Linked DNA regions of Cricetulus griseus. The protein of the gene in region 1 purifies or fractionates together with the protein of each later gene. This does not show direct contact. Links are inferred from orthologs where the notes say so. Each region holds a gene or a part of one and is shown on either strand. Other genes may lie near its edges.

Region 1 (4,235 bases):
AGATGCTATATCCTGTAAAATCTTATCTGTGGAATTAATGAAACTATGCTTTTAAGAATCAGGAAAACCACAACTGTGTTTTAAGCAGAGTGAACAATTAAACTTGTGTTTCCAAACTATCATACTTGGTAGTAAGTTAGCTGGAGGGGGTAAAAAGAGGGTCTACAGACACTAGGATTCAAAGTTCATAGCATAAACCGGTAGAGAGGGAACAAAGCAATTTCATGCTTAAAACTGTTAAGATTATCTGATTAGCTTTCAATAAGAATCATTTTGATTCGAGGCCAGCCTGGTCTCCAGAACGAGTGCCAGGATAGGCTCCAAAGCTACACAGAGAAACCCTGTCTAGAAAAACCAAAAAGAATCATTTTGAGGTAGCTTTCAGGTTTCAGACTTCATTTCTCGTTGGACTGTTAACCTAGTAACTAATGAACAATTCTCGAGATCATCCTACATTTAGTTTTTATTCTGCAGAGTATAAAGCATACAGAGATGTCACGTTGTTTATGAGTCTGGAGTAGAGGGTTAGCTTAATCACATAAAAGTTGGTAGTGAAGTTGTGAATGGCACAGATAATCTAGCAATTATAAAGAGGATCTCAGATGGAACCCTGAGTTAATACTGAAATTGGGATAGCAACTCAGTATACATCATTTTTCTTTTGTAAGATTAAAGTTGGAGGGAGATGAAACCAACAGGAAGAATGGAAATCATAACAGAGAAACAGAAAATACAAGAAAGAAAAGAAAGAAAGAAAGAAAGAAGTAAAATGCTTCTAAAAAGGCTAGAGGAAATGGGACTGAAAAGAAAGAGAACAATTTGCCTATTCATAAAGAGCAATTCCTGTGTTTTAACTAGGACAGGAGAAGTGAGTGACAACAAAAATGTAGATGAGGTACAATGTCACCAGTGACAACCTGTAACCCCAGTATCAGTTAAGGCTGGATTCTCTATTGAACCAGGATGATGATGATGGTGATGACACCTAGCAATAGCTATCTAGCAGTTCCAGGTCAAGTATGAGTGACATCCAATGACCATACATGATTCCACCCTGACCCACAATCTGGGAAAATAATGAGAGATGGGCTGCTCCTCTCAGCGTATACGTATCTTGCTTGCACTTGAGAATAGAAATCTATCTCCACATATTTATCAAGTACTTCACCTTTCCTATTCTAGCTGTCTAATCTATCAAAGAAGTTCTCAACCAAGAGCAACTTTATCTACAGGGCTTCAAGGTTATCGAATTTCAGGATAGTCAAGAGCTTTTGAGAGACCCTGCCTCAAAAGTAAAACAAAACAAAAAAAATATGGCCTTAAAGAGATGTCTATGTTCAGCTGGTCACCAAAAGAAGGTCATTTTAATGCTAAAGTTAACAACAACAAAAAAAAAATGCAATGAACACTGTAATGAAACTACAATAGAAACAAACTAAAACATCTTTGCAAAAAAAAATTTCTTAGGAGCAGTGGTGCTCTTCCTAAGAATTGACACCTTCTTCGGGTCTTTTAAGGAACCAGGCATGCACCTGGTACATACAGACATAACCCAGGAAAAACACCCAAACACATGAAAAACTAGAGAGAAAAAAGACAGCTGTAATGCTTTTGGAATTGGTTTTTATAAGACTTTGTTGGGAGATACAAGGCTAAACACAGAAAAGATTATTATAATTAGAATGGCAATCCTAAGTGGTGTGCAACACGAGGAACAAGGATTCCAGAAGGAATAGAAATAGGTGGGAATAAGTATTGGCCAAACAGGCAGCACAACACTGAGCTACGAATGAATAAATAAACTGTCCAGATACTGAATTACAGCCACCGCTTTTAAGGAAGATAAAGAGAATAGTTGAAAAGTAAAACCGGAACTTTCCTGTATATTGTTATTTAGTAATACCCTGGTTACAACAACTGCAGCATATCAATGGGTGTCTAAGAAGAGCAAAATCATCTCGTGTAAAACCATCAACTCGTTGTACCTGTTTAAACCGCAAAATGCATTCCTAAAGCAGCTGATAAGACACTTCCGACTCCGAGACGCCTAACATCAATACACTCAGGCTACTTAAAAGCAGTGGGAGAAAGGATGGGATTTCCCTCCATTACTTCCTCCCTCCCAGTCCAGAAGCGCTGTATTTGAGAAGGCATATTGCTTTAAGCCACCCTCGTAAACGTAACCCTGTCAGAGGTAAAACTCAAAACGTGATTACCTTTCAGCTGTTCGACCACATTATTGAGATACTTTATGAGCTCGGGGTCAGTAGTTACAAGCAAGGTGAGTCCGTATTTCTGCACTCGAGTAAAGGTTTCCGACGGGTATATGCCACGCTGATACAAAATGCTGTTGACGCCAAACGCTGAAAACGAAAGGAATCGAGCAGTGAACACCTACTCACGTTTCCAAGTCTTCCAGAAAGCAGAGCTGACACAAAACGACACCGGAAAACCTTCAACCCAGCAATGCCAACTCTCACGACACCGCAGTCTAAGTGCAAATACACATGTGCTGAGCGGATGTCAACACAGACCCCGGCTTTCAAAGCGCGAATGGCACGATGCCCCAGGGAAGGCCCCTCCGTTCTCCGCCACGGCACGAACGAGCAGGAGACCGGGCGGTGGTTCCGCCCTAGCGCGTCCTAGGTCCCGGCCAGGCCGCTCTCCGGCCGCATTCAAAACTCACAAAAAAACTCGGCCACGATCTCCGCGCTCCCGCGCAGGGTGATGCCTTGCTCTCGGGCGAGCTGCTGCGCCATCACTCGATCTAACGGAGACCGCTGTCAGCCTCACCGCACACCGCGCCCTCCCGGCTCAGCTCCTTCAGCTATTCCCCGCCACCCGGTTCAAAAATAACTACGCAGCCCGCGGGGCGCTCCGTGCGCAAGCGCAATGTCCCGCAAGCCCCACCTACACCGCCGGTTTCCGGCCCCGGCCCCGTCCTATAAACGCCTCATTTCTCCCTAAGCCCGCCCCATACTTCCGGTTTCCGCCCTAAGTCCCTCCCCCATAACTGAACCCTCTAAGGACGGTCTGCTCTCAAGATTCCGTCCAGAAGCGCCGCTTCCGCTGTGAACGCAGTCCCTCGAGGACCAGAGAGCGGCCCCTAAGTTCCGCCCAGAGCCACTTGTATCCGGCCCTGGCTCCGCCCTCGCTGCTTGCGCAGGCGCAGAGTGGGCCTGGCTCCGCGCTCTCCGGCTTCCCGCCCGGGAGGGTCGCTGTGGGTGGGGCCTCTGGTCGGGTGTCCAGGAAGAGCCCCAGGGTGACGGGGTGTCCAGGAAGAGCCCCAGGGTGACGGAGGGAAGGCTCGCCGGCTAAGTCCAGGTCCGAATATCCCCGAAGTAGTCTCAGCTTCGTGGATAGTTTGCAGTTTGGGAGAGCCTGTGTTTTGTGTGGGAACGCGAATTTTCTGGAGAAATATCAGAATAGGGACTGGGTACAAGAGAAGGCTCAGCCAGTAAAGCCAGTAAGGTGTGTGCCTTCAACACACACACACACACACACACGAGAATCACACACACACACGAGAATCACACACACACACACACACACACACACACACACGAGAATCACACACACACACGAGAATCACACACGAGAATCACACACACACACACAGTAAACACACACACACGAGAAACACACACACACACACATACACACACGAGAATCACACACACACAGTAAACACACACTCACACACACAGTAAACACACACACACGAGAATCACACACACACACACACACGAGAATCACACACACACACACAGTAAACACACACACACGAGAATCCCTTCAACACACACACATGAGAATCCCGCACACACACACACACACACACACACACACACACACACACGAGAATCCCTTCAAAACACACACACACACACACACACACACACACACACGAGAATCCCTTCAAAACACACACACACAGTAAACACACACACACACGCACGAGAATCCCTTCAACACACACACACACACACACACACACACACACACACACACACACACACACACACACGCATACAAGAATCCCTTTCTTTGTAATTAAAATAGCTTGCTTTCAAGTTCTTTGGTCAAACGCTCTTCCTTTTTGAGTATTTAAAGCCTGTACCAGAGCATGTAAAGTTACACATGGGCTTCATGTTACTGTTTTTTTTTTTTTTTTTTTTAAACTTTTTTTTAAAGATTTTATTTATTATGTATACAGTCTTGTGCCTGCGGGCCAG
Region 2 (3,649 bases), on another chromosome or scaffold:
GGGTTTCTTTTTGTTCCAAGTCCTAGCACAAAAAGCTGTGTTTTTTTTTTTCCAGTCATTAGTAGCTGTCACTTGTGAATGGCATATAAAATCATGTATTCTATGTTGTCCTCTTAAAAACTATAACCTTGCTGGGCATGGTGGTACACACCTTTAATCTCAACACTCAGGAGGCAGAAACAGGCTTGTCAGGTCTACATAGTGAAACCCTGTCTAAAAACCAAGGAAAGGAAAAACATAACCAGAAAGTTCTTTGTAGATGTGTTATATTTGAGACAGACATACAGACACACACACCATTTCATTGTATAACTTTATACCATTTTATTTATTTAATTTTATGTGTATGGTTGTTCTGTCTGCATGTATGTTTGTATCCCATGTGTGTGCCTAGTGCACAAAGGCCAGAAGAGGGCATTGGATTCCCTGGGGCTGAAGTTATGGAAGCTGCTGTGCTAGTACTGAGAATTGAACATGGGTCCTCTGCAGGGGCATCTGATGTTCTTAACCACTGAGCTTTGCTTCAGCTCCCTATGTAAAAAATGACCATTGCACCTAGGTCATTTTTAAAGTTTTTAAAATTACATTTGTATTTATTTATTGCTCATGGGCACATGTGCTTGTGCAGAAGTCAAAGGATAACTTGAAAGAGTCAGTTCTCTTCCTTCTACCATGTAGGGCCCAGGGATCAAACCCAGATCATCAGGCTTAGTGACAGGTGCCACCCTTACCTGTTGAGCCATCTTGCTGGCTCACCAAAGTTTGTTTTAATTATTATTATAGCTAGGAGTTGTACTGCCTGAGTATACATATCAGGACTTGGGAGGTAGAGGTAGGAGGATCATGAGTTCAAGGCCAACCTGGATAATATAGTAACCCTACCTCAAAAAACAAAACCAAAAATCCAAAAACCCGAAAAGTATGTCATCTATATGCCCACCCCCCAAATGCAATGATTAAAGCTTTGTAACAAATTCTAAGGGTTTAGTATTTAATATCTTTTAAGTTCACTAGAGAAAAAATCCTTACTGCGAGACAACGTGGACCTGCTGGGGAGCTTGGCAGACCTGTACTTCAGAGCAGGAGACAGTAAGAACTCCGTCCTCAAGTTTGAGCAGGCGCAGATGTTGGATCCTTATCTGATAAAAGGTGAATCCTGGGGCCCTAGAGTGTCTGTAAAGGGCAGCTAAGAGGAAAGGCAGAGTGTGGCGTTGGCACCTGGCGTTTCTTGTTTTTTGTTATTATTGTTGCTTCTAGGCTTATTTTTATTTATGTGTAAATGTCTCTCTGTATGGTGGGCATGTACATATGAGTGCAGTGGCCTTAGAGGCCAGAGGTATCAGATTCCCCAGGAGTTGGAGTTATGACCCATGTGACATGGGTGTGGGAATCCACTCAGAGCATATGAAGAGCAGTACATGCTCTTGACTGCTGAGCCATCTCTTCAGCCCCTTATTTTTTATTGTTTGAATAAAGGGTCTCATGTAGCCTTGAACCTGGCTTTGAGTTCTTGATTCTTTTGCTTCCACCTCTCGAATGTTGGCTCACAGGCATGCACTGTTTTTCAGGACAGCCTCTGTGAGGCTCACTTACTGTAGCAGTCCTCTCCCTGACCTGGCGTATGTCTCTAACACTTAGCTAATACTATTCTGAGTGGTTGTTTGACTTGAATTCAAGTGTTTTCTCCTCATAGACCATTGCCAAGCTTTTTTCTTTTAAGGGGTATCGTGCCCCATTCCCCCATGAATTAAAATTGATGACGTGGCTGACTGGTGGCATCAGCAGAATCCTAATGTCCTTTTAGGGACTTTGGTTTTACTCTGTCCTTAGTATAATTGCAAAGAAGTGGGGGACAGATATTAAGAACAGGATAGAGTGGTTAAAGTGTCATCATCAGAGACAGCCACTGATCTGGAAGCAGTTGCAGGTGAAGGAACAAGGCACAGTGGTTTGAGGGGTGGGGGAGGCCGGCAGTTTGAAGAATGGAATGCTCAGGGATACAGGGGAGTGAGACGTAAAGACCCAGCAGAGGCCAACGGGAGAATACACCTTGGGGTAATAAACAGGCTTTTAGATTCATAAAGAATGACGGAATGATAATTCTAACACTCTGAACACTAAGGTAGGATTATGAGGTCAAGGCTAGCTACACAGTGAGACCCTGACTCTACCAAACAAAGGATGACTGAGTGTGAAGGGACCTTCCCAAGTATTCAGATGAGGGAACAGTCTAGAAAGTGTGTTTGTGCAAGGTCTTCCCCTGTCTGGTGTTTATTTCTCTTCTCTACACCGCACTAGTAATCTCAGCACTTGGGAGGTAGAAAAAGAAAGGTCAGTGGTTCAAGTTCATCTGGCCATTGTGGGCTGCTGGAAACTCTGCCTTAGACCTACCTACCACCAAAGAAATACAGAGAGAGAGAAGTCAACAGTGGTGGCGCACACCTTTAATCCCAGCACTCAGGAGGCAGAGGCAGGCGGATCACTGAATTTGAGATCAGCCTGGTCTGCACAGTGAGTTCCAGGACAGCCAAGGATACACAGAGATATTTCCTGTCTGGAAAAATCAAAAATCAACAACAACATAAACAAAAAAGTAAAAAGAGAGAGAGAGAGAATAATTCAGAGTTTTAGAAATAATAGCCCGGTGGCACTGGTAGCTTGGACTTCGATACTTACATCCAAAACCCAGGCTAGCAGGAGTGTGACTGGGAGAGGACTGGGGATTTGAAGGAATGGCAAGGAAGAACAGTAGGTAGAGAGAGGTGCATGAGAGTCAGCATGGGCCTTTATAAACCATGAGGAAGGGAGGGTTTAAGTGGAAGACAGGTGGCATTCCCTGATGAACTACATTCTAGAATAAAACAGCTTTTTGGGGCATAGGCCAGGCCATTTTATTTATTCATTTGTCTGTTTATTTGAGACTGGGTGTTTTCAACATAGTAAACATGAGATGGGTGAGAGCAGTTAGGTAACAGCGTTATGTGATGCCTTCTGGGGACATTTTCTGGGATGTTGTTCACCACACTACAGATTTAGGGACAGACAGTTCTTGAAGTGACAGAGATTCAAGTTGTGATGTAGGACCTGCTGCTCCTGTGCCTACCTGTCTCTCCATCTTTCGTTCTTTCATGTGTGTGGTTTCTGCCTACAAGTTTACGTTCAGCATGTGTGTGCAGGAGCCCCCAGAGGCCAGAAGAGGACCTTTCTTGTTTTCAATGGTTTACTGTTTATTGATGCAGTCATTTGGAGAGGGGGGTCTCTTGTAGATGAGGTTGACCTTGAACTTCTGCTTTTCCTGCTTCCAGCTCCCAAATGCTGGGATTATTGGCCTGTGCCACCATCCCAGTTTATGTGGTGCTAGAAACTGACCCTGAGCTCCGAGCATGCTGGGCAGGCACTCTCCCAACTGAGCTGCATCTTAAGCCCTGGCTGTTCTGGAACTTAACTCTGTAGACCAGGCTGGCCTCTAGCTCACAGAAATCCTCCTGCTTCTGTCTCCTGAGTGCTGGGATTAAAGGCATGTGTCACCCACACCCGGTTTATTTAATTTCTAAAATTAAATTATATGTGTGTATGAGCGGGCACACGCACACACAATGTCAGAGGGCAACTTTGGGGAAGCGGTCTACCATGTGGGTCCCAGAGATTG
Region 3 (3,649 bases), on another chromosome or scaffold:
AAATATTGGGAAATGAAAAACATGATTATTCTGCAGGAATAGAAATTATTTTATAAAGAAATAATAAAACTAGCCAGGCATGGTGACATACACCTTTAATCCCAGCACTTAGGAGACAGTGGCAGGCAGCTCTCAGTGAATCTGAGGCCAGCTTGATCTACATAGAAAGTTCCAGCCCAGCCAGGCCTACACAGTGGGATGCAGTTTCCAAGAAGTAAAAAATAAGCAAACGGCCAGGTGTTGGTGGGGCACACCTTTAACCCCAGCACTTGGGAGGCAGAGGCAGGCAAATCTCTGTGTGTTTGAGACCAGCCTGGTCTACAGAGCTAGTTCCAGGACAGGCTCCAAAGCTACACAGGGAGACCCTGTCTTAAAAAAAAAAAAAAAACAAAAACAAAAAAAGAGATCAAGAGAGACAGAAGCTTCACTATGTTGCCCAGCCTGCCCATAAAATGCTAGTCTCAAGCAATCTTCCTCCCTCAGCCTCAGAAATAGCTGGGGCTATAGGTACTTGCCTCCACACTCCATTTTTACCAAATCAGAATCTTAGGTATTTATAGTTTTATATAGTACATGATCAACAATCTTTATTGCCATTTGCTACAACCTTTAAAAAGACAGCTGGTATGTTTTACAGAAACAGGACAGAGGTTTGATTAGCAATGGCTATCCCACTTATGCTGCAGGAGATGAAACTTCAGTGGCATTTGGAATGCACCAGTAAAATGACCAAACACTATAAATATAAATGTCCTTCCAGTCTTCAGTCTTTATTATTTGTAGGTATCGATTCATGTTTGGTAAAGCCTAAATTTAAAGCCAAACATACAGGAAGACTTTAGATATACTCAAGGTGTGGATTATCAGTAAACTTGAACAAAAAAAGTGAAATACTAAAATGTGCTCAGTAATCAGGACTCTGTTATTTTTACTCAAAACAACAACAACAACAAAACCCTTTCGTTCATCCAAGTATCATTCATTTTCTTATTTTCAAAGGACAGTCACCTATAGGCAAGTTAACAAACATGAGTGTCCCTCACTGATTTATATGTCTTAGTTTTGCTGAGATAACTAATGTCCTTGCTTTCAATGAATTACTTTCAGGATAAAAGTGACTTTTTTTTTTTTTTTTAATATCTATTTATTATGTATACAGTATTTTGTCTGCATGTATCCTGCAAGCCAGAAGAGGGCATCAGATCTCATTACGGATGGTTGTGAGCCACCATGTGGTTGCTGGGAATTGAACTTAAGACCTCTGGAAAAGCAGCTCAACCTCTGAGCCATCTCTCCAGTCCAAAAGTCACTTTTATAACACGCTTAAATTTTCTTCTGATAAAACAAGCCACTTTGTAAACAAACTTCATTTGTATTTTCCTCCCTCAATATTAAAACAGAGTTTATGCAAAAGAGTATAAAAGTACACTTACTTCCAGATTTACAAACTAGCGGAGTTATTTCATCTAGTGGGTGTAGCATGCTGAACATAGTGGGCAAAGGTTCTCTAGTAATAAACAAACACACAAACAATTACCAACAAGATAACCCTGGTGCTAAACAAGCAGCTAGAAATCTACTGTTACCACTTGAATATGAGATACCTCATAGGCTCATGTTTGAACACTTGGTCCCCAACTTGTAGCATTGCTTCATGAGGCTGTGGAGCCTTGGGGAAAACAGGGTCTGAGAGTTTCTGCCCAGTCCTGTTCCCAACCCCTCAATTCACTTCCTGATCTGCCAAGATGCACAGTCCTCCTAACATGAACTCTGCCCCGCCTTCCCTAAATGAAGGGCTGAACTGTGAGCAAAGTAAATCCTTCCTCCCTCAAGGGCTTGTCAAGCATCTTGTCACAGCTACTGTCTCCAAAAGGAACCTTCTAAATTCTTCAAATACTGTCTTTCACATCATCCTGTTTTAGTTCTAAAAATAAATAATTCTATACATTTACACACAGAAAGAAAATGACTGTCCAAGGGAAAATCTGCAAATAGCAGCCATCACATGACAGAACCCAGAAAATAACAACCGGCCTAAGACAGTCATTCACTTATCTCTCTTAGTGGCAGTGTGACTATGGTAGAAATTTAATCTCCTATACTTGTTAATAAGGGGCACATTTTTAAAAAGAAGAGAAAAATACTAAGTAGTTAAGCCTACAATTTTCAGGAATTTTGAGGAGGAAAAGTGCTGGTTTTCTAGCAAAGCAGAGATTAAAATCTACAAACAGCTATGATGCTTCGAGCATCTGCTTTTGCAATGTGCCTGCTGTATATGCTCCTCTCAATAAGCACACAGTTTCCAGGGAGGCAAGGGAAGTGCAGCATCAACAAGTCTCCACCATGACTGAACACCTGTAGACAATGGGCCCCTGTGAGAGTCTGCATAGATCCCAAGAGTAACTACTAACATTCCTGTAACAAATAAGGAAATGGAAACTAAGACAGCAATAATGATATGTCCAAAGTAGTACATGGCAGAGCTAGTAACAGAATCTTGTCATTAAGCTGCTATTTAATGCTCTGAAGGAGAGCACAGGGCAATGGAGTGCTGACTCAGCATCACAGCAGGGCTCTAACTGGCATGAAAATGCTTGCACACTCATGCTGTGAACAAGGACGTCATCACCACCCCAAACATTTAGGTTAACAAGTTTACTTCAGAATCAACATGAAAAAAGCCCAAGAAATAATATTCTCAACAGAATAAATGGAATACCTAGGTAGACTTGGAGGCACCTCATGTGAAGAACTGCTCCGTTCGAACAGCAAACCATATTTAGTGGCCCAAACATTTGCCACCTATCAATAAGGGGGGGGGGGGGATAAGAGAAGTTTAAGAAAAGGTTTCAGGAAAAAAGACAGAACATTCAATTTTCTTTGAATTTATTGAGAGCTTTCAAAGCAACATGATAATAAACTCACAAGCTACAGTACTTCAAAACCTATGATTTTTTACAAGCAACTCTAAGAAAAACAAATCAAACCCACAGAAGAGGTGCTCAGTGTGAAACTATGGCCAGTGTGGGTACCAACACAAGAGTGAATAAAACTTTAATAGCATTGAGCATTAAGAGATGATGTGCTGCAAGGAAAAAGGCCAATATTATTCACAGACGTACTATAATAAAGCCAAAATGATTTCTCAAATATCTTTAAACTGACAAACATCTCATATTATAATTTACTTTATTAAAAAACTGTTTTTGTGGAAAGGACAGGCACGTGTTAAACTAAAACTAAGTACAAACTAATACCCTTGATACATAGAGATCTATATAAAAATCTGATATACATGATCTCCAAGAAAACACACAAAAAAGTTGTGGGGATTTTGTTTGTTTGTTTTTTCAGACAAGGTTTCTCTGTGTAGCCCTGGCTGTCCTGGAATCCACCCAGTAGAGACCAGGCTGCTCTCAAACTCACAGAGATCCGCCTGCCTCTGCCTCCTGAGTGCTGGGATTAAAGGTATGCACCACCACTGCCCAGGGGTGGGGTGGGTGGGTGGGTGGGTGGGTGTGTGTGTGTGTGTGTGTGTGTGTGTGTGTGTGTGTGTGTGTGTGTATGTATGTATATGGGGGGGTTGTTTTTTGTTTTTTGTTTGTTTTTACACACTGAAAAACTTAAAACACTCAAGTTTACCTGAAAT

Evidence for each region.
Region 2: the proteins of Mad2l1 (region 1) and Anapc7 purify together in Homo sapiens (affinity purification with mass spectrometry; 3 studies listed by BioGRID and IntAct, with this or other methods). This does not show direct contact. The link is inferred for Cricetulus griseus from reciprocal best matches to the Homo sapiens genes MAD2L1 and ANAPC7.
Region 3: the proteins of Mad2l1 (region 1) and Anapc1 purify together in Homo sapiens (affinity purification with mass spectrometry; 3 studies listed by BioGRID and IntAct, with this or other methods). This does not show direct contact. The link is inferred for Cricetulus griseus from reciprocal best matches to the Homo sapiens genes MAD2L1 and ANAPC1.

What each region holds. Positions count from the first base shown.
Region 1 is NC_048601.1:76,486,571-76,490,805, forward strand, and holds the start of Mad2l1 (mitotic spindle assembly checkpoint protein MAD2A), read right to left. Parts: upstream 2,889-4,235; 5' UTR 2,760-2,888; coding exon 2,687-2,759; intron 2,364-2,686; coding exon 2,217-2,363; intron 1-2,216. UniProt on the Homo sapiens protein: Component of the spindle-assembly checkpoint that prevents the onset of anaphase until all chromosomes are properly aligned at the metaphase plate.
Region 2 is NC_048597.1:102,260,634-102,264,282, forward strand, and holds part of Anapc7 (anaphase-promoting complex subunit 7), read left to right. Parts: intron 1-1,006; coding exon 1,007-1,149; intron 1,150-3,649. UniProt on the Homo sapiens protein: Component of the anaphase promoting complex/cyclosome (APC/C), a cell cycle-regulated E3 ubiquitin ligase that controls progression through mitosis and the G1 phase of the cell cycle.
Region 3 is NC_048599.1:49,881,636-49,885,284, reverse strand, and holds part of Anapc1 (anaphase-promoting complex subunit 1), read right to left. Parts: coding exon 3,643-3,649; intron 2,803-3,642; coding exon 2,720-2,802; intron 1,508-2,719; coding exon 1,434-1,507; intron 1-1,433. UniProt on the Homo sapiens protein: Component of the anaphase promoting complex/cyclosome (APC/C), a cell cycle-regulated E3 ubiquitin ligase that controls progression through mitosis and the G1 phase of the cell cycle.